3 linked regions of the Cricetulus griseus genome follow. The protein of the gene in region 1 binds, or shares a complex with, the protein of each later gene. Links are inferred from orthologs where the notes say so. Each region holds a gene or a part of one and is shown in the gene's direction. Other genes may lie near its edges.

Region 1 (8,456 bases):
CTTTTCTCTATGACTAAGGGATATACCTAAGAAGGGTACATAGTTAAATTTTAAATATCACACTACTTTTGTGCATTCCAGGGCAGCCAGGGATACACAGTAAGACCTGTCCTCAATAAATAAAAAATAACATAAACTATAAAAATTAAAGTATGATTTAGTAAGTATCCATGTATCACTATAATACAGTGGCAACGGGAACCACTCTCTTCTAGGGTACAGGTCAAATGTTTACAGATGTTTCCTCTGTAAACCTTTCTCCTGAATTTTCTCAGTTCTTTTTACTCTGCCCATAGCTACTATATGTGTCTTAGTCTGCTTTATTGGTGTATGCATAAGGCCCCTTACTAGACAGTGAGATCCTAGAGGATGGTTTGCTAATCTGTCATTACTGGAAATTATGTAAAGTCTGGGAATAGTGGTTCACACCTTTAATCCCAGAGCTTGTGAGGCAGAGGCAGGAGGATCTCCATGAGTTTGAGGCCAGCCTAGTCTACAAATCGAGTTCCAGGACAGCCAGGGCTGTTAGACAGAGAAACCCATGTCTGGAAAAACCAGAAAACAAGGCTGGAGAGATGAGTTGGAGGTTAAGAGCACTGGCTGTTCTTCCAGAGGTCCTGAGTTCAATTCTCAGCGCCTACATGGCAGCTCACAACCATCTATATAATGAAATCTGGTGCCTTCTAACCTGCAGGCATAACACCATATACATAAATCTTTAAAAAAAAAACAGAAAACAAACAAAATCCCAACTGTTAAGGTTTCCAGGTAGAACATTCATATTTGTAATTTATAAATTTTGGTTGTAGAACTGACATATAAATTGTCTTTATCTTAAATCCTCATTTTTAGAACAATTCAAGATCCTATATTTTTATTTTGCTTTCAGAACATAGTTTTAGTTCCCTGCTTTTATTTTTAATTTCTTAAAATTTATTTTTACTATTTATGTGCATGTATGTATGTGTCTGTCTGTCTGCCATAACTATGGGGGTGTTTAATTAATTCAGAATCCGGCATCAAACGCCCTGAAGCTGGAGTTATAGGAGGTTGTGAGGCATCTCAAGTGCGTGTTGGTAACTGAATTTAAGTCTTCAGGAAAAGTGGTGAGTTATCTTTAATCGCTCAGCTATCACTCCAGCCCAGTTTCCTTTTTTAATAAGACCAAATCTTAGCATAGTTTTATACACGAACATACTGCCATTTTAAAACAGAACAAAAATATAATGAATATGAATAAAATAAACATAAATTAATATTTACTGAAAGGAAAACGAAGCAGGGTATGGTAATCTCAGCATTGGCAGGATGAGCTAGAGTTTAAAGCTCTAGCCTGTGCTACATAATTCAAGAACAGCATAGTGAAACCCCGTTTCAAAACGAACAACGTGACTCAGGAAACAAGTTCACCATGGAACACCTTGAAGGTTCTTCTCTTCTCAAGATGGGAAAAAGTGACCCTGTTTTTCTTTTGTGCCTTTTCAGGAGGCTCTCTGAAAGTTCTGATTTCCCATTTACAGTGCCCAAAGTTAGCTACCTTAGTACTAACATAGGGAGGCTATTTATTCTCGTCCTCTTTTCTTCCAGGCTCATCCGTAAAATAAAATAAAACACCATCTAATAGTGCTGCTTTGAGGATTGACTCAGTATGACCCTGCAAGGGAAAGCCCGGCTTGGGGGTGCATGCGTGTATCCAAGTTTGATGGATACATGGACCGGGTCACAAATAAGACATGACAAAATTACCTGGAACACATTTGACCCTCAAGCGAAAGCTGTCACTGGTTTTAAGCTGGTTTATACTTATCCTTGCTAGAGGACTAACAGCCACACCCAGACCACACCCTAGGACCACCCAGCCGCTGCGAGTGGCTCGCTCTCTGGGATAGCGGCAGCAACTAAGAGATCAGCACCCGGAGAGGAAAGCCCTTGGCCCTAACGTGTTTTCATCATTCACGATGTTTGTTGAACTTCTCTCTGCATGGCTGGAAATAACCGAAGAAGCTGTATGTCGTGGCTCACGCCTTTATTCCCAGCTCTCGGGAGGCAGAGGCAGGATGATCTGTGAGTTCCAGGCCGGCCTGGTCTACTTAGTTCAAGCCAATGCTAGAGAGTAAGACCGTGCCTCAAAAAAACATAACAACCGGAAGGGAACAGCCTCGCTTCTTGAGGCGCCAACAGTGTATTCAGTGCTTTCGACAACACCAATCTTTTGAGTCTCACAAACGTCCTACAGTCGCCGCGAGGCTTGTTACTGTCTCCATAAACCACATGGAAACTAAGCTCCAAAAAAAATATTTTTTTTTAAGTATTTGCAACTGGAGTCGAAGTTTCCAGTAAGTGCTGGGCTCCAATTTCAAGACCTCGGCTGCTCTGCGATGCCTGCGCTCGGAGCGAAGCTGGCGCGCAGAGCCCACAGGGGCCCCGCACCGCGCGAGGCTCGCGCAGAATTCGGCTTACCTCAGCTGCGCACGCGCGGACGCCGGGTTAGCCTCCGCCGCTACCAAAAGCAATCGCCGGAAGCGAAGGGGCGGGCCCAGGAGCTAATCGTCGGAAGTAGCCACCTTCGACATCGGAAGTCCTCGCTTATGCTCTCCTTACAGTTCCGGTGACGCTCCCGGAGTTTGTTTACGTTCCTCGCAGACCCAGCGGCGGGCTTCTCCCTCTCGGACTCCAAGATGGGGAAGTCGTTCGCTAATTTCATGTGCAAAAAGGACTTCCATCCTGCGTCCAAATCCAACATCAAGAAGGTGAGTGAAGGGATCCGGAGAGGGCAGCGAGGTGCCGAGCTCCCTGGGACAGTTGTGTCCTCCGCAGGCCTGGAGACGTCGCCCCGTTCTCCGTGCTAACCCCACATACCGAGTGGTCCCCAAAGTCCGGCCCTGTCAGTCGGGGTGGATTCCGGGTCCGAATCCCAGAGCCCTAAGACGAGACCCGTAAGCTCTGCTTCCCTGTGTGAAGACTCACCGCTTAAACAGGTCTCTCAAGGGAAAACCACCCCTGCTTTCACTACCCATCCCACATCTGCATCCCGTAGGGTCGTGTCTGATGGCCGCATTCAAGTTCAGCGTTTAAAAAAAAAAAAATTACAGCTCAACCAAGTGCTGGACACAGGACAGAGGAGAGAATTACGGCGGAAGAATGGCGACGGGGAGTGTCGTAGCCTTGGGCTCAGACCAGGATTCTTGATAGATCAGGACAGTCACGTTTAGCCTTGAGGCCTCGCACAAAATGTTTAATGTCATTATCTTCAGCCTCCTACTTTACTAATTAAAAATGACAGTGTCGGTTGCCCTAATGTGTAAAATTGTCAGGAAGATTAAATGAGATAGTGTGGGGGAAAGAATAGAAACGGGAAATGAAGGCTTAGCACTGTGCATCACGGAAAATACTCAGAAAGTACACACAAGCTTGTGAGAATATATTGAGCTTTTAGTTGTTTCTAAGCCAGTCGTGAGTCCTGTATGTTACCATGTTATGTAAAAATAAGCGTACATGTGCATTAGAATATCTGTGGAAGAAAATACAAGAAGTGCTAACACGAGTTATTTGTAAATATAGTTACTTCATTTTTTCTTTGAGACAGGTTTTCTCTGTGTAGACCAGGCTGTCCTCGAACTCATAGAGATTCACCTGCCTCTGCCTCCCAAGTGCTAGGATTAAAAACATGCTACATAATTTTAAGTCACTCCCTGCCCCCCAGAATCTTGCTAGGTATTTCAATCTCTGCCTTATCCCTTGACCTCCCCCCTTGTTCTGTTTATTTTGTCCATACTCCTATTGTCCACATGTCTTTTACACTTTTCATGGTCTCTTTTTTGAGTTGGGGTCTCCTCTTGCTATCGAGGGTGAATGGCCCTGAACCCCTGATCTTCTTGTCTCTGCCTCCCAAATGCTGGGATGACAGGTTTAAGCCACTGCACTTGACTTTTGTATCTCCTTCTTAAATCGTGAAATAGTTTATAATGTGCAGAAGAATCCTATGAGTGCTCTGGCAATGGACCTGTGTTTTATTTTTATTTCAGTTAATGGAATATAAGTTCTTGAGCAATTGAGACTATTTAAATAACAGTGAAATATAAAGCTTGAGATACACGGTAATTTCTCTTTTGTGTGTGTGGGAGGGGGCTGTTTTTTTTTCAGACAAGATCTCACTGTGTAGCTCTGGCTGGCCTGGAACTCTTAGTAGTCCTACCTCAGCCTCCTGAGTTCTGGGATTGCAGACATGCACCAGCATGCCTGGCTAACCATGTGTGGTTGATTATAGAAGACAATGGAGCTTCCAGGACTATCAAGATGGCTTAGTGGATAAAGTGCTTGATGCACAAGTGTGAGGTTAGAATTTGGTTTCCCAGTACCCACATAAAATAATAGTGGCCCATTTGTGATCTTCACCTTCGGGATGGAGACAGGAGATCTTCATGCAAGTTGGTAGCTATACTAGTATAATTGTTGAACTCTGGGTTCAGTGAGACCCTGTTACAATAAGTCAAGTGGAAAGTGACTGGGGAAGATAATTTGTTTTAAACCCTGTACTCCATACTCACAGGCACATAGTACATACATGCAGACACGAATGTATATACACACAAAACAGACTTCTTATTTAATTCAGTTGTTAAATTATATTTTGTTTCACTAATATAGGTATGGATGGCAGAACAGAAAATATCATATGATAAAAAGAAACAAGAAGAACTAATGCAACAGTACCTTAAAGAACAAGAGTCGTATGATAACAGGTAAGTGCCACCTTTTCAGTGTTTTTAGTATAATCATTTGCAATATTGAGTCAGCTTCTCTGCCATAATTATACATGGTCACCTTTTCCAAATTTACCTATTCTTTACATAAAACACAGCTTCATTGAGTCATCCAGACTGTTAGCAAGTCCCACATGAGACAGCTTGCAGAAATAATAAGCTCTGCATGTTAACTACTAAGCCTGATTAGAAAGGTTTCTTTTAAATACACTGGAGTGAAAGATACTCAGGACACTTAGAAGAGAAAAGCCGGGTGTCTGTGCGCTGTGGCTAGAGTCCATTAGCTTCTTCCAGGATGGTACATGCCTTTAGCTGCTTTCAATGTGCTTGTATTTGGTTAATTGAGTAGTGGTGTTTTGGTTATATAGACTGTGCTCCGAAACATTTGTTTTTGAAACATTTACATTGGAAACTTGAGACATTCATCAGTTTATGGGTATTTGGATCACGCTATTAACATTAGCATATCGATATCTGTTCAAGACTGTTTTCAGTTGCTTTGTGTATGTGCTTAGGAGCAGAACTTCTAGATCTCAAGGTAATCCTTTTTTAGTTTTTTAAAGAACCACCAAACTTTTCCATAGCCTAAGCTGATCTTGAACTTCCTGTGAAGTTGAACTCCCAAATGCTGGCATGTGCCACTGTACCCAGTGTATGTGATGGTGGGAGTCAAACCCAGGGCTTGCTGTGTCAGGCCAGCACTCTGCCTCTGCCAACTGGGTTACATCTCAGCTCATTTAGTAATAACCATGCTGATAAGTATGAGGTGGTGACTTGTAGTTTGATTTCTATTTCTCCATTTCTAATAAAGCTCAGTGTTTCATGTACTTGATTTATAATTTTTAAATGGTGCTAAGACAAAATTTACACATCTGTTTAATATACATATAATGTCCAATATACATGGGTTTTTTAATTTGTTTGGTGTTGCTAAGCCATCACCATATCGAATTTCAAAACATTTCATCACTTGAAAAGGAACTGTATTCATTAGTAGTCATTCCCCATTTCCTAATTTATCCTATTTCTGCCTTTCACAAGTCATCACCATTTTATACCTATGAATTTTTGTGGAGTTATGGACTCATAAGGCAGATGATAAAATGGTCTTTTGTGACTTTTTTTCTTTACATTTAAAAGTTACACTTATTTATTTGTTTATTTAGTCAGTTTGTGCCTGTGGGTGGGGCATGAGTGGAGGTCAGAGGGCAACTTTCAATAGTCAAGTCTCTCCATGTGGGTCCCAAGGAACAAACTCAGATTCTCAGGGTTGGTGGTAAGCACCTTTACCCGCTGAGCCATCTTGCTTGCCCACACCAGGAGAGCTTTTATCTTGCCCTGCTTGCAGTGCCCCGGGCATACTTCATGCTAACTGCATTAGCCTCTTGGGCTTTGGGAGATAGTTGAGGAGTGTCAACTAGCACCAGAGTGTGTGCCCAGTGTCAAGGGCTTTCACGACTGGCTAATTTTTTAAATTTTTAAAAATATATTTTCTTAGGCCAGGCAGTGGTGGCTCATGCTTTTAATCCCTGCACTTGGGAGGCAGAGGAAGGTTGATCTCTGTGAGTTTGAGGCCAGTCTGGTCTACAGAGTGAGGGCTAGGATAGGCTCCAAAGCTACACAGAGAAACCCTGTCTCGAATATGTATGTATGTATGTCTATATATATATATGTATATATGTGTGTGTGTGTGTGTATTTACTTATATATATATGTATGTATGTATGTATGTATGTATGTATGTATGTATGTATGTGGCATATGAGGACCTTGGTGCACATGTGAGAGTCAGAGGCAGTTCTCTCTTTTCACTGTGTGGGTCCCAGGGATTGAACTCAGGCCGGTAAGCTTGGGTGGCGGCAGCTTTGGCCACTGAGACATGTGACTGGCCCCTGATTTCTTTCATTTAGCATATTTTTGAAGGTAATCTACCACATACATTAGTACACATTCCTTTTAATTAAAGAATAATGTTCCACAATAAAGATATATATTTATATGTCCTTTTGTTTTGGTTTTTGGTTTTTGGGTTTTTTTGGGGGGGGGGGAGAACTGGGAGTATAGAGTCCAATAGAGAAAAACTGAGATTTGCTTACAATAATGTATAGCATATCCTTTGTGATTGCCTTTTCCAAATACAAAGACGTTTCTTACTTACACTTTAGCTTTTGCTAATATTTAACTTGGATTTTACAGACTTAACATTAAGTTGGTGTAGCCATCCTGTTTGTTGTGGGCCTTTTACCTAAGAAACCCAACAGCAGCACACTGTACACAGAACCTACAACAGAAGTTTCAGTCACTACCTAAGATTTTTTGAGTAATAGTCATTTCTGCCTTCAGTATATTAGCCAATTGCAGAATTTTGTTAATTTTTTTCCTTGTTTTCAGAAAAAGAAAAAATTGGTTCTTAGGGCCTAGGAGTTAGCTCAGCTTGTAGTGTTTGTCATGAAAGTAAGAGGACCTGAGTTTGGATTCTAAACCCCCACATAAAAAGCCAGATGGTTAGTGCTTGCCTGTGATCCCAATGCTACAGAGATAGAAACAGGAAGATCCCTGGCCCTTGCTAGCTAGCTATTTAGTCCAATCATTGAGCCGCAGATTTAGTAAGAGACCGTGTCTAAAAAGTAAGGTGGAGGGCTGGCCAGATGAGTAAAGGTGAATGCAATCCGTAAGACCCACATAGAGGTAGAAGCAGAAAACAGTCTACATGCATGCAAACATGCTTCTACACACATCACACATAATAATTAATTAAAAATAAGGTGAATAGTTGAGAAAAACACCCTACTTCACCTCTGACCTCCACATGCATGTGCGTGCGCTCTCTCTCTCTCTCTCTCTCTCTCTCTCTCTCTCTCTCTCACACACACACACACACACACACACACACACACACACACAATTAAAAATACTAAAATAGCTGGTGGTGGCGGTGGTGTGCACCTTTAATCCCAGCAGTCTGGAGGCAGAGGCAGGCAGATCTCTCTGAGTTGGAGGCCAGTCTGGTCTACAGAGTGAGTTCCAGGACAGCCATGGCTACACAGAGAAACCCTGTCTGGAAAAACCAAGATGAAAAGATATAAAATCACTTTAAAAAGAAAAGGTTGTGGCACCAAAATATATGATAGCACATAGGATTTCAAAACTATTTCGGCAGCATTTCATAGTGATTAAGAAAATTCTGTAAGAGTAACCATGCCATCTTTTTTCCTTTCTCATTGGGAGAGCTAGAGGGAAGAAGGAAGCCGAAAAGTTACATCAAGTTCCTAATAAGACAGCACTTTTTGGGCTTTATCACTAATAAAAATATCTTCATTATTTTAGGGTTATTCTTTGAGAGATGTTATGCTATCATGCTCTTCCTTTTGTTTAAAATTGTACCGTTATTTCATTTAGATTGCTTATGGGAGATGAGCGTGTAAAGAACGGCCTGAATTTCATGTATGAGGCCCCACCAGGAGTTAAAAAAGGTACTTGCCTTGTTTCCTTTAAGCTTTAATGTGGGTATGTATGAAGGTTGAGAAGAGCAAACAGGATTTTAAAGGTTATTCTTTGCCTTTCCCATTGATGTTACTCTGTGATGATATCAGCTCAAATGCTGTCATCTCATGGTAGAATAAACACAAAATATTTTCCTAATGTGGCTTATGTCCTTTGTGGGAGGGAAATGTTCAATATTGCAGAAGTATA
Region 2 (6,920 bases), on another chromosome or scaffold:
CGTGCAGCTGCTCCGAACCGAGGCTGCAAATAATCCTCAGTGGTTTTACAGCCCACTTGGCAGCCATCGGGATTTTTTTTCCCGTCTTTATGCACGTTTGCTCTTTGGGCCAGCTATGAGGTTTCAGAGAGATCCTTTGCTACTTTCCAGAGCTCTGGCTGGTGGCAAATGAAGAAGAGGATACAGAGCCTCCACACATCTGTATATTTTTTAACTTGCTCTTAGCTTAGTAGTCAATTTAAAAGGCCCTTAATTGTGTAGCCTTAAAGGGGGGAGGGGGAGACTGTCAATCAGCTCAGTATTTCCAATCGCTCATTATGTAACTCTCAAATGCCTGTGTAATTGTTTGAAAAGTTTGTGTTTCTGTTTAAGCCGTTTTTCAGTAGGACCCATGAGAAATGTTGCAAGTGAATGTGAATAATTTCTGTGTTCTTTAATTGAAAGCAACACAGTACAGATAAATACATTCATTTAATTCTTACAAAGAAATGTTAGTACTTGAAATTTAAACATAGGATATGAATTCAATAGCGCATTTGTAAAAATGCCTAGTTAGTATCTGTGTGGAATTTGACTAATTAGTAAGATTAGGAAGCATATACCTAACATTAGGAGCATTAATATGATTTGCTGCTCTCAGATTAGAGAAAATTATCACCTCTTCCCTTGTACCTTCAAAATCAACGGGAGCTAATTTATTTAGGTCATCCTCAATGCAATTTGATGACAAACCCCAGAGGGTTGGAATTTCTCTTCCTCTGTCTGCCTGCCTTCTCCCATGGTACCACTCTCCTTCCCCTCCCCTCTCCCACAAACAGTATTGCCAGACTGCTAATGTTAGAGTCAGGTAACCGGTTTGGAAAGGAACGTTACATTGTCTTAACAGTGGCCCGCTTAGACTGTTCAGTCATTCATCTGGGCCTATGTGTTTTACTAACACAGAGATGCATTGTTCTGTATTCACTGTCTATGAAACTTTGTTTCAGGCAAGACATCTTTATATTTGTGATTATCATAAAAACTTAATTCAGAGTGTTCGAAACAGAAGAAAGAGGAAAGGGAGTGATGATGATGGAGGAGACTCACCTGTTCAGGACATCGATACTCCAGAGGTAGAGCAAAGTTTTATTATGTTAAATGTAAATCATAAGCATGCTGGCAATTCCAAAGCCTTTATGTAAATATTTGAATTAAGTTTTAAATGTTTAAAGCATCTGACAAATCTCAAAATTAAATACAATCAGTTAACATGTATTTATACTAGCCGGGTGGTTGGGTGGTGGTGGTGGTGGTGCAGGTGCATGCCTTTAAACCCAGCATTCGGGAGGCAGAGGCAGGCGAATCTCTGTGAGTTCCAGGCCAGCCTGGTCTACAAAGCTACACAGAGAAACCCTGTCTCGAAAAACCAAAAATAAATAAGTAAATAGAATAAAACATGCATTTATACTACTATTAAATCTCAGGTGACAGTTCTTGTAGCCCTTGACCTATAACTTCCTTTTTTTTTTTCCTCTAAAAGCTTACACTATGTATCCCCAAAAGGTGAAACTAATAAACTCTAGATCTGACTGTGGAAAAGAAATTGTTCTTGTGCTGAAGTGGACATTGCCCTTTGCTTTACAGATCAGTGATATCTTTTCAGCAGAGTGAACTATGTTACATCTTAATTTTTTTTTTCTAGGTTGATTTGTACCAATTACAAGTAAATACACTTAGAAGATACAAAAGACACTTCAAGCTTCCAACCAGACCAGGCCTTAATAAAGCACAACTTGTTGAGGTATGTATAATTTTTATACGGTATAAACAAACCTGTTCACACCAACAAGGGTTGTGATTAAATGATGATGAAATAGGTAAATGTCTAATGTCTAAGAAAGTCAGAGTTAATGGGTCTATCATGGTGTGCATATAGTGGTTTAGAAACAACTGTCTGTCACCTAGAAAATCCACTTACAGCATTTTTTAATAGGGATTTCTCAGAGTAAGTATTTAGTGAGTTTTTAATCACTTCAGAAATCTGTTTTAGGTTTCTAATTATTCAATGTCTGTTTATTGAACACCTAATTGAGGCATAACAAATAAATAAGCTTACAAGCATTTATCAGAATTTAGTTTTCAAAGCTTCTCTGGGATAGGCCTACAGATGAACCCTGAAGCAGTACTTCCTAACTTTCTAGTTTTACTTTCAGGTTGTCTTTGTTAGTAGTTGTTGTTTTTAAGTAGAAGATGCTTTCTTTACATCGAGAGAGAGCAAAGATTTTATCCAAGCTTTTACTTAAAGTTTATTTTGTATAGGACTTTGGTTCCTTCAGAGTGCTTTGGAAATTAGCTGTGTGTGTGTGTGTGTGTGTGTGTGTGTGTGTGTGTGTGTGTTTTCAAGAAGTAATAGAGCCACAAAATCTGTGCACTTTAAAGTATTTACAGATTTAAATAATTAGACTTTATATGTAAAATAAACTTTTCCACTAAATAGACAGGACAGAAATCTCTCTCTCTCTCTCTGTGTGTGTGTGTGTGTGTGTGTGTGTGTGTGTGTGTGTGTTTACATGAGTTTTCTCATATTCTTGGGTTTGACTTGAGTAGTTAGCCTACATTTCTAATGTGCATATTAAATAAAAGATAAATACAAGTTGCAATTCTTTGTAGAAAGTTCTTTTACATTATTAAAATTCAATATGCTAACTAGCCAAATTTTCTCCTCTATTTTTTGCCTAGACAAAAATATAATTTTTCTTCAAATTTTATTTAAAGATCTAGTCCTTTTACCATGGCACAGTACATAAACATAAAGATGTTCCCTACTATGATGAAATATACTAGACATTAATGAAGTATGGTCGCCCCTGTTTTGTAACAGAGAGGAGCCAAGAACTGATGCAAACGTTGTATGATATAACATCATATAGTTTATAACTCAAATCTCAACTTTAAAGTCTGGTCTTCTAAAAACAGTTGAATTAGTACAGAGTTATTTTCTGTTCTAGAAAAACAGGCCATCTTCTGGAATCGGAGTGCACACATTAGCAGCTCAGTTTCTTATTCGTGTTGGTAGCTCAGTGTGCATGTTTGGTTTGTGCTGTGAAAAGACAGGGAAGCAGTCTTCTTGAGCGTCTTTCTAGCTCCTTTAATTTTCTTAAATCTTACTCAGAAAATTTTGCTGAAACTTAGGGAGAATGAATATCAATTGCACCAAAATTGTATATGATATCATAGTTTGTTACCAAGGGTTTTTGTTGTTTTGTTTACATTAATCTTTTCCTGTGAATGCAGTCGACATGCACGTTGGCTCTTTTGTTTTATGTCATTGATATTTAATGTTTAAGAATATGTACTTTATAAGTTGTTAAGTTTAAAGGGAAAAATACTTATAACCAGTGGACCAAAGCAAGTAAAATACTTAGAATTAGAGCATATGAATTGAGTAGACTAAAGGGTCCTTTGAAATCAGACTGTCCTTTGTTGATAATATTTTGTTTTTTTTAAATGTGCTTTGGGGCCTGTTCATATTTTGTTAAAACAGCTTAATTTTTAAAAGACAATCTCTTGTGGCCATATAACACATGGCCTAAACTGTGCCTTTTTTTTTTTTTTTTTAAACTGTGCCTTTTACCTGGCTCACAGAATCTGCTGCATCTAACATTTAATTTGTTTTTTTCTTTGTAGATAGTTGGTTGCCACTTTAGGTCTATTCCAGTGAATGAAAAAGACACCCTAACATATTTTATCTACTCAGTGAAGAATGACAAGAACAAATCAGATCTCAAGGTCGACAGTGGTGTTCACTAGGAGAGATGGCATTCACACTAGCACATAGATGTCTGGCTGTAAAGAATGTTTACTGTTTTTCATATGTAGAAATGTTCTTGGGTATTTTTTCTACAGAGGATTTTCTTTGGCTTTTTTTGTTTGGTTTTGATTCTAATAATTAGTTGGAAACTCATATGAAATGAGCTTCCTAAATTAAAACTATTTTAAATAAAGGTTATTACTATTATAGCTGCTTCAGTGTATTTATTTTGTGAAACTTAGTTTTTGTTTTAAGCTTTCAGGAATTGGTATTAAGGTTTCAGGTAAAGATCCTTATTTTGTAAATTTTTCTTGAAAATTCCAAGTAATTAAAGGTAAAGGAGAAACAACAGATAAATGTAATTTCCCTAGATCAATTTGATTTGTAAGTAAGTGTGTGGTGGTGGTGGTGGGGTGGGGGGGGGCGTCTGTTGGTTTTGAGACAGGTATCTCTGGCTGTCCTGGAACTCAGAGATCCACCTGCCTCTGCCTCCCAAGTGTTCAGACTAAAGGCAAGCTCTACTTCAGGCTAACAGTGTTTTTTTTTAAAATACTTCACAGTGTATGTTAGCAGGTTTAAAAATTAGACTTCCACTGATTCTTAACTACTTTTAAATTTCCCTTTTGCATTGTTATTATTATTCTTTGAAGGCATATGAAGAAAAACAGGTAGTTTCTGTGCCTCTCTCTTTCCAAAGACACCCTACATTCCAGCAAAGGTAAGCACAGCGCTTGCTCAGAGTTGAAATAAGAATTCATGGAAAATAACTCACATTCTTTAATGTTTGCTTTGCAAATTCAAACCATGTTAATTAAACTGCTGTGTGGTGAATGTTTATAATCAGCCCTCTAGAGGCTGAGGCAGGAGGATCACAGGTTAGAGACCTGGCTGCAGAGCAAACCTTGTCTCAACAAAATGGAACCAAACCTTGTCTGAGATTAGAGAAGTCTGCATGTGTAATGAGCTCTTTGTTTAAGGGTTGGGGTTGCTTTATATTTCATTGTCAGTGTTTTGTTTTGTTTTGTTTTTTACCATTTTTAACATCTATTTCTCTTGGAATTTTATTGCTTGGCTAAATGCTCAGCATAACAAATCAGGTTTATAGCTTGTCACATCAAAAAACGAAAGCAGCTCCAGGAAAAATGTTCTAAGAATGGTTGCAAACTTTAGGCTGGAAATGGATAAGACTACTAACACAGCTCAAAGTTCCTCAAGGTTGACATTTGGACCTGTGATGGTTGGCTATGGGAGGCTGTCCTGGGTTGTAGAAAGATGAGCGCACACAGTTCATGACATTTACTGTTAAGTGCCAGTAGCTCTGAGATGTAACAATGATAATTACCTCTAGACACTGCCAAAGGTGCCCAGGTGACAAAAAAAAAAAAAAAAATGACCACCAGCTGAGAGCCACTGACAGTGTCTGCAGTACTGATTAATTAGGGGTAAGTTTACTTATTCTCAAGTGTTGATTATAGAAAATAAAGCAACTGGTGTTTGGTTCTTAGCACCATTTAAAATGTCCTTAGGGCTGGAGAGATGGCTCAGAGGTTAAGAGCACTGGCTGCTCTTCCAGAGGTCCTGAGTTCAATTCCCAGCATCCACATGGTGGCTCAAAACCTTCTGTAATGAGATCTGGTACCCTTTTCTGGCCTGCAGGCATCATATAGACAGAACTGTATACATAACAAATAAATAAATCTTAAAAAAAATAAATAAAAATAAAATGTCCTTAGAACATTGTTGGTGAGTAGAAGCTACAATTCTAGGCATTTTGGAAACTTTATTTGCAGTGTCCCAGAGCCTTCTGGAACAATTTATTTTTCTTAGCTGTATAAAAATGAACCACATACCTGCAAGATGTCAGTGTTTATTTGAAAATAATATTTCTCCCATATTTTTACCTAATCCTTATGATTTCATTTTTGAATAAAACAGCTACATCATGGTTTTCCCTATAAAATTTTTTCTTGTGAAAAGAGCTTGAAACTTATTTGATCAACGTATCATAACTAGTAATTTAGTCCCCTCCCCCATCCCCCATCCCGGAAACAGTTTCCCTATAGCTTTGGAGACTGTCCTAGAACTCTCAGAGATCCACCTCCCTCTGCCTCCCAAGTGCTAGAATTAAAGGTGTAGTTTCTTATACTTATTTGCATAATAAAATCATAAAATAACCCTGAAGAATAGGGTTCTGAGTGGTGATTAGCCAATGAAGTTAAGTCCTTGTTAAAGCAATTTTTAAAAGGTCTTTTAAACTAAGGTGCAAGCTGCAGGCGAAGGTCTGAGGACAACTTCCAGGAGCCAGTTCTCACCTACTGAGGCAGAGTCTTTTTTTCTGCTGTAGCATGGTATATTCCAGCTAGCTGGCCCCAGGCTTCTAGGAGATTCCTTATCTCTATTTCCTATCTTGCTGTAGAGGCTCACAACATCTAGTTTTTTACATGTGTTCAGGGAATCAATCTCAAGTCATCATCAGACTCACTGGGCTAGCATCTTCACACGCTGAGCCATTTCCTGGGCCCTTTCCATATCAATTTAAACATTAAAAGAGTGGCTCTTTTACATTGAAAACTAGAATCTCACCAAGCTTGAGTACCCACTGAGCTGTAGTATAAAGCAGTTTCTATAAAGTTTTATTCCTGTGCTATTTAGTTTTTAATGTTATGTATTCACTAGTAATTTCTTATTTGTCTCTGAATAAAGAGTAAATGGAAACTCATCTTTACATGGGTACAGGTTATTTTTAACAGCATCAAGAGAAGAAGACAAATTTGTCATAAGAGTTGTATAAGGAAAGAGTATTAAATTTGTAGGGGGACTTTAAAAAATATTTAGGAACCAAAACAAATTAAGAAAAGGCTACAATTTTTTTTTTAAAAAACCTCCCATTTTGCTATGTAATTTTTCCATTGAAGAGAAATTTACATAATATACAGCCAAAGTACATAATTTTGTGGTATTCAGTGTATTCACAATATTATGCAACTGCCATGCCTAATATCATGTTTGTTTTGTTTTTTTTAATCATCCTCCCAAAACAGTCATACGAATCCTCTCATTGCATCTATTAATATATCTCCATGGGAGGCTAGTTCATTCATGGCACATTGAGTTTCAACCTTCGGCTAGT
Region 3 (7,735 bases), on another chromosome or scaffold:
GCTGAACTAAAGGTGAGCGCCACCACTGCCCAGCTTAGCCCATTTGTTGTATTGATTTCTTGTTTAGTTTTTTTGGTTCTTTGTATATTCTTGGTTTCCTCCTCGGCCAGATGTATAGGTAGTAAGATTTTCTCCCATTCTGTATTCTGACTCTTCTGTCACTCAGTTGTTTTTCTTTTCTGTACAAGGGGTTTTCATCTCACAAAGTCCCCTATGTTTATCTAGGGATTTATTTAGTGAACAACTGGCATCCTATTTAGAAAGCTCTTGCTTAGGCCTATCTTTTTTGAAAACAATATATTTTCTTTTATAAGTGTTTTGCCTACATTGTATATAAATGTACTGCATGCACACCTGGGCCTGCAGAGGTCAGAAGAGAGCATTATTAGATCCCCGGAAAGTGGAGTTACAGATGGTGTGAACTGTCATGTGCGAGCTGGGAAGTAAGCCTGGGACCTCTACAAAGAGCAGCCAGTGTGCTAAACCACTGAGCCACTCTTTCATCCTCTATGTTTATATTTTGTAGGTTTTTTCGTCTTGTAGTTTCAGAGTTTCAAGTCTACAGTAAAGTCACCAAGAATTTTTTAAAATTAATATTCTGCCATTTAAAAAATGTTTCTTATATCTAATACTCTGAAGGCCTAGTTCTTTTTAGTCTTTATTTTCTTTATTTCTTTGTAAATGTTAATATTTGTGGGAGCATTTGTGTGCCATAGCACACAGGTGAGAGTTGATCGATCCTTCCACATTATGGACTCAAAGGTTGGAACTCAGATCATCAGACTTGACAGCAAGCACCTTTAACATGCTGGCCCCATATTTATTTATTTATTTATTTATTTATTTATTTATTTATTTATTTATTTATTTATTTATTTATGTTTTTGTTTGTATGAGAGGTTTCTCTGTGTAGCCCTGGATGTCTCGGAACTCACTGTAGACCAGGCTGTCCTTAAACTCAGATCTGACTGTGGGGATTAAGGGCACCCCTGCCCAGTTCCACTCCACTCTTGGATTATTTTTGAGACAGTGTGCTTAACAAGAAAATTATAATTTGTGTCAGGGTGATAAAGCAATATTATCTGAAACTTGTTTTTGTTTTTTTTTTTTTTTGGTTTTTCGAGACAGGGTTTCTCCGTGGCTTTGGAAGCTGCCCGAAACTTGTTCTTATAGATACTTGAACCCATTGAATGAAAATTAAAGGAAATCCTAAAAATATTTTGATAAATAATACCTAAGTAATTTCATGTGTGATCTTCAAAACTTTAAAGGAAAGATGACATAATATGAGAATTTTCCTTTGGTACCATCAAATCATTTTAATTTTTTAGAGCCTGTCCCAAAGAATTAAGAAAAAGTTTTTAGATTTATTTATTATTTTTGACAAAGTCTCACTATGTGGCCCTGGCTGACCTGAAATTCACTCTGTAGACCACGGTGGATTCAAATTCACGGAGATCTTCCTGCCTCTGCCTCCTAAGTTCTGGGATTAAAGGTTCATATCACCTTTTAATTATTTCTTTTTTTAAATATTTTTTCTGACATTCTTTTTTTTAAACATTTATTTACTTATTTTTATTACATATACAGTGTTCTGTCTGCATGTTTGCCTATACGCCAGAAGAGGGCACCAGATCTCATGATAGGTGGTTGTGAGCCACCATGTGGTTGCTGGGAATTGAACTCAGGACCTCTGGAAGAGCAGTCAGTGCTCTTAACTTCTAAGCCATCTCTCCAGCCCCTGCTTTTAATTATTTCTATTGTGTGGGTTTCCATGGGTATGCACAGCTAGTGTCCCAGAGGCCAGTGATATCAGATTTCCTTGGAGCTAGAGTTATAGGTGATTGTGAGCCACCCAGCGTGGGTGCTGGGAATCAAACTGAGGTCCTATGCAAGAGTAGTGCACACACTAATTTGCTGAGCAGATAACAGCTGTTAGAGTGCTTGTCTAGAATGCATAAGACCCTGGGTTTGATCTCTAGCACCACATAAACCAGTCATGGTGGTATGTGATTTATAATATCAGGATTGAAGAGGCAGAGGCAGGAGGGTCAAAAGTGAAAGAATATCCTTAGCTGCATAGCGAGTTCCCAGGCCAGTGAGATGTTTCAGCAGGCAAAGGTGCTTGTTGCCAGTTCTGACAACTTCATTTTGATCCATGGGACTCACATAGGGTGGACGGATAACCAAATCCTGAAAATTGTTCTCTAACCTCCACACACACACACACACACACACACACACACACACACACACACACAGACACAAATATTCATGTATGTACTAAGTAAACTAAACCCCCAAACAAAAAAACTTACTTTTAGAATTTATTTTACAAATTCTGCAGTCTTTTAGGTTTTGGGGAGATGGGAGTTATGCTAAGCATATATCCTTCATATACTTAGAATAAAATCCTGGAGATTCGAGTTGTTCTCATGTATATCCTTCATCTACTAGGAATAAAATTCTGGTACTAGAATATCTCTCAGTGTTAAAACAGTCAAAACCAAAACCAGTGTTAAAACCAAGCATTTTTGAGGCCTAGGTTTTATCCCTACAGCCCGAAAATAATAAAATCATGAACTCTTCCATCAGTCTTCATGTTTGCCTTTTCTTGATGTTTTCTATTTCTAAACTTTCTTTTTTTCTTTCTTTCTTTTTTTTTTTTTTTGGTTTTTTGAGACAGGGTTTCTCTGTGGCTTTGGAGGCTGTCCTGGAACTTGCTCTTGTAGACCAGGCTGGTCTCCAACCCACAATGGCGTGCGCCACCACCTCCCGGCCTATTTCTTAACTTTCATCTTGTGAGTTTCTTCTAAAAATATAAGTCTTACACATTGCTTTTTTAAACAGTACTGTGTAAATGAAAGCATTATAGAAATATCAGTCATTTTCCTATTATGAAGATGGTAGATTTCTGAATATACTCTTACAAAAATGCTTGCCTTTGAGAGCTAGAGAGAGGGTTCAGTGGTTTAGAGCACTGGCTGTTCTTCTGGCAACCTGAACTTGATCCACAGCACCCACATAACAACCATTCTCTAACTCCAGTTCCAGAGGATCCGATGCCTCCTCTAGCCTTTGTGAGCACCAGGCACAGTCGTATGTGTAGGCAAAATGCCCCTACATGTAAGATAAAATAATAATAATAATAACAATAATTTTAAATGCTTGTCTTTAAAAGTTCCTAGGCAATGAGTGCTGTTACTGAAGAATTTTAAGTGCATATTTTAATGCCCTATGGTACATATTTCTTCCAACCGTTTTCTGTAATTCAGCTCTGATGAACATACACCAGTAGAGGATGAAGAGCCAAAGAAAAGCACTACTTCAGCATCGAGTTCAGAAGGTAATTTTGGAAAATAAGGAAGTTACTACTTCACAAATTTAAAAAGTATGTTTATAAATAATTGAACAGTAGACTACCAAATAGCTATTCCTTTTCAGTATCTGAAATATAGTAAGATGTCCAGAAATACTTCTGAGGAAGTTCATTTTTCATTTGTACTTACAACAGATGACAAGAAGAAGAAAAGGAAATCTAGTCATTCAAAAGAAAGATCCAAGAAAAAGAGAAAGAAAAAGTCATCTAAAAGAAAACATAAGAAGTATTCTGAAGATAGTGACAGTGACTCTGAATCTGAAACAGACTCCAGTGGTAAGAAAGCTGTAGCGTTCTGCAAACCCCAGAGTGCATTTTAGTTGTTAAAAATGTTGCGCTTAAGGCTGTATTGTTTGTGCATCATATGTATTCCCTCTGCCTGTGGAGACCAGAAGAGGGTGTCAAATCCCCTGGAACTGGAGTTACAGACCACCACGTGAGTGCTGGTAGTTCTCTGGAAGAGCAGCCAGTGGTCTTAGCTGCTAAGCCATCTCTCTACCCCCTCAGCTTTTTAAAAATGTGTTGAATTATAACCATAATTATGACCATGTTAGTTTTCTGATTACATTTAAATTTTTCGTATTTATTTAATTTTCTTTCTTTCTTTTTTTTTTTTTTTGGTTTTTTGAGACAGGGTTTCTCTGTGTAGCTTTGGAGCCTATCCTGGCTCACTCTGGAGACCAGGCTGGCCTCAAACTCACAGAGATCTGCCTGCCTCTGCCTCCTGAGTGCTGGGATTAAAGGTGTGTGCCACCAATGCCCGGCCTTATTTAATTTTCTACAGTTACGTATGTGTCACTTGGTACAGCAGGCCCTCTGCCTTTAAAGCTAGTCACTCCCTGTATCCACCTTGGCTTACATAGTGCAGCAATGGACATGCAGTGCTTTTTTTTTCAATTTTTTTAGATTTATTTATTTATTTTACATATATGAGTGCTCTGTCTATCCTGCTATAGATGGTTGTGAGCCACCATGCGGTTGCTGGGAATTGAACTCAGGTCCTCTGGAAGAGCAGTCAGTGCTCTTAACCACTGAGCCATCTCTCCAACCCCATGTAGTACTTTTGTAATAAACTGATTTCAAAAACTGCTAGTCACTGCTTCCAGGTTAACCATTCCTTAATTATCTTTCCAAATAAGTCATGTTTTTAATTACACTTTAGTCATTTCTTTTGTGCACGTGTGTATGGATATGGATACGCACACCTCCCGACATGCATGGAAGTTAAGGAGTAACTTGAGTTGAAGTTTCTCTCCTTCCATCACGTGGGGCCTGGGGATTGAACTCAGGTCTTCATGCTCAACAAAGCACGTTTCCCAACTGAGTCATCTTGCCAGTGCATGTCTCGCTGGTTTGCAGACTCCTCTGTCTCCTCATGCCCCATGCTTTTCTCTGTCAGCCCATATTATGCTCATTTCATTACCATCTCACCTCCATCCCACTGAGGTTCTGGGAATGGAAAGCATTCTCTTCCTCTCCACACAGAGTGGGTTCTTTTGGTTTTTCTTTTTCTCACTGTGAAACTTTAACAATTCTTAGGGAAGTAAAGGGAATAATGTAATTATCATCATTATCATTATTAGTTTCTGTTAGCATTTTGACATATTTGTGTAAAATATGGGGGTAGGGGAAGTTGCTGATCTATTCAGAGTAAGTTCCTTGACTATCATTCCAAGAATATTTCTATATGCACTCCTTTGAAATAGGACTTTTTCCTACTTAACCAATGCCATTGGTGCAATGAATAAATTAATGATATATAATAAATAAAGTGATTCCCCATATTATTAATACTTAGTGTGACTTTAACTTATTTACACTTATTTATTGTATGTCCTTATGTGTATGCACTCATACATGCCACAGCCAGTGTGAAGAGATCAGAGGATAACTTACAGGAATCAGTTCTTTCCTTCCACCATGTAGTTCTGAGGCTCAAATTCAAGTCATCAGGTTTGACAGTAAGCGTTTTACCCACTGAGCCATCTTGCTGGTCTATGATTTTAATTTCTTTGACTCCTGCCCCTAGTATAGTTCCTGGCAAATTTCAATAAACGTCAGAATGAATAATTTCTCTGCAGCAACAAATGAACATTTGCAACAGTAGAATATTTACCTGTTAAAATATTGGAATTTTGAATGTCATTTTTTTCAATAATATGTGCTTTAATTTTCAGATGAAGATACAAAGAGAAGAGCAAAGAAAGCTAAGAAAAAAGAAAAGAAGAGGAAACGGAGAATGTAAGTTTTTCTTTACTTTTTGTAATGAAAAAGTTTAAAATACTTATAAAATTATGTAAAATAGTATAATGATCCCCCATATACATACCCAGTGTGACTAATTATTCTCTCATGGGTAGTTTCCACCACTCTCCAATTATTTTGATACTAATGAGAGCTATCATTCCTTCCATAAATAATTCGATAATTTAGTACCTTTCTCTAAAAGGTATTTTTTTTAAAATAGAAAGATGCTAACTTTTATTGTGCCTACATATTTAACAGTTGCTGGGCATTGGTGGCACACGCCTTTAATCCCAGCATTTAGGAGGCAAAGACAGGCTGATGACCACTACACAGTGAGTTCTAGGACAGCCGGGTCTACATAGAAAAACACTGTCTTAAGAAACAAACAAAAAAAATGGACAGTCAATTCTCTGTATTTTTTCCCTATAGTTTATTTGAATCAGAGTGCAAATAATGTCTGTAAATTATAGTGGTTATTGTGAGTGAATTAGCATGCTTTCCTGTCTTCTTTCTAGAGGTAGGCACGGTTCAAGTTGGAACTTTGGCCAGGACTACTTTCTAGGTGGTGCTGTGTACACCATCAGTAGATGGCTACTGTCTTCTCTCTTTTTGTTATATTAACAAACACTACTGGTCTTTGTCAAGGTTCAGTATGTTATGGAAATTGAAAAACGGTGGTAGTTTACTTTGAATGCTGCTATTTAAACATATTTGCTGTATTTTAATCCATCATACTGAAAATTTTTATTAATGTTTACATTGGTGAGAACTTATTTGGTTTTGTGGGTTGTTTTTGCATTTCATTTAGTTTTTGTGAATTTTTTCTGTATTTGGGATTGTTTGCTTTTATGTTCTGCCTGTACATATCCCTGCATGCCAGAAGAGGGCACCAGATCTTACGCAGATGGTTGTGAGCCACCATGTGGGTGCTGGGGATTGGGGATTGAACCTGGGTCCTCTGGAGGAGCAGTCAGTGCTCTTAACCTCTGAGCCATCTCTCCAGCCTGTTTTATGTTTTCATAAGAAAGATTTATTTTCCTTTAAGTGTATGTATGAATCTGTGTATGCACCATGTATATATAGGTACCTGGAGAGGCCAGAAAAGGGTATCAGAGCCCTTGGAGCTGGAATTACAGATGGTTATGAGCTACCTGATGTGGGTGCTGGCATATGAACTCTAGTTCTCTGGAAGAGCAGCAAGCACTTGCAACTGCTGAACAATCTCTTTTTTGTTTGTTTGTTTTTTGAGACAGGGTTTCTTTGTATTGCTTTGGAGGCTGTCCTGGCACTCCCTCTGTAGACCAGGCTGGCCTTGAACTCACAGAGATCCACCTGCCTCTGCTTCTGGAGTGGTGGGATTAAAGGCATGCGCCACCAACGCCCAGCAGGGCAGAACAATCTCTTTAACCCTCGTATGTTTGTTTTTTGAGTTAGGGTCTAATATACCCCAGGCTGGCCTTAGGCTCACTGGATAGCATAGGATTTCTTTGAACTCTTGATTCTCCTGCCTCTAGCTCCAAGGTGCTAGGATTACATGTAGCTAGTCTTTCTGTATCCCACTAGCCAGCTCCCAAATGATGACACAGACATTTTTTATTAATTATGAAAACTTGGCTGACAGCTTAGGCTTGTTTCTAACTAGCTCTTAGAACTTAAATTAACCCATTTCTATTCATCTACATGGTGCTACGTGGCTGATGGCTTTCACCTCTCTTCCTGCATGTTTCACTTCCTCTGCATCTGGCTGGCGATTCTGCCTTCTTCCCAGCATTCTCTGTGCCCCCGAAATCCTGATTTGCTATTGGTCATTTAGTTTTTTATTAAAGCAACCCAAGTGACACTTCTTTATAGTGTATAAAAAGATTATTCTACAACAATTACAGACATAAGCTTTCACCTCCTGCCTGAGAGTTAGGCTTTAAGCTATTTTATTTCCATTATCTTTCTACATGATAACCATATTTACTTGATTGTTTAGTCATTTCTTGTTAATGGTAAAATAGTACTTGGTTAACTGAGAAGATTGAATCGAAATGTTTGAATAAGCTGGGAATTCAGATAATTTTAATCAACATTTTCATTCCCTTGAAATTTGAGCATGCCTGGGGT

The links.
Region 2: Cir1 (region 1) and Sap30 share a complex: the UniProt entries of both Homo sapiens proteins name them as parts of the histone deacetylase complex. The link is inferred for Cricetulus griseus from reciprocal best matches to the Homo sapiens genes CIRSR and SAP30.
Region 3: Cir1 (region 1) and Nkap share a complex: the UniProt entries of both Homo sapiens proteins name them as parts of the notch corepressor complex. The link is inferred for Cricetulus griseus from reciprocal best matches to the Homo sapiens genes CIRSR and NKAP.

What each region holds. Positions count from the first base shown.
Region 1 is NC_048599.1:101,832,290-101,840,745, forward strand, and holds the start of Cir1 (corepressor interacting with RBPJ 1), read left to right. Parts: upstream 1-2,573; 5' UTR 2,574-2,678; coding exon 2,679-2,750; intron 2,751-4,647; coding exon 4,648-4,742; intron 4,743-8,162; coding exon 8,163-8,236; intron 8,237-8,456. UniProt on the Homo sapiens protein: May modulate splice site selection during alternative splicing of pre-mRNAs. Regulates transcription and acts as corepressor for RBPJ. Recruits RBPJ to the Sin3-histone deacetylase complex (HDAC). Required for RBPJ-mediated repression of transcription.
Region 2 is NW_023276806.1:235,752,201-235,759,120, reverse strand, and holds the end of Sap30 (histone deacetylase complex subunit SAP30), read left to right. Parts: intron 1-986; coding exon 987-1,112; intron 1,113-1,681; coding exon 1,682-1,780; intron 1,781-3,666; coding exon 3,667-3,789; 3' UTR 3,790-3,999; downstream 4,000-6,920. UniProt on the Homo sapiens protein: Involved in the functional recruitment of the Sin3-histone deacetylase complex (HDAC) to a specific subset of N-CoR corepressor complexes. Capable of transcription repression by N-CoR.
Region 3 is NC_048604.1:29,364,899-29,372,633, reverse strand, and holds part of Nkap (NF-kappa-B-activating protein), read left to right. Parts: intron 1-3,275; coding exon 3,276-3,346; intron 3,347-3,514; coding exon 3,515-3,655; intron 3,656-5,556; coding exon 5,557-5,620; intron 5,621-7,735. UniProt on the Homo sapiens protein: Acts as a transcriptional repressor. Plays a role as a transcriptional corepressor of the Notch-mediated signaling required for T-cell development. Also involved in the TNF and IL-1 induced NF-kappa-B activation.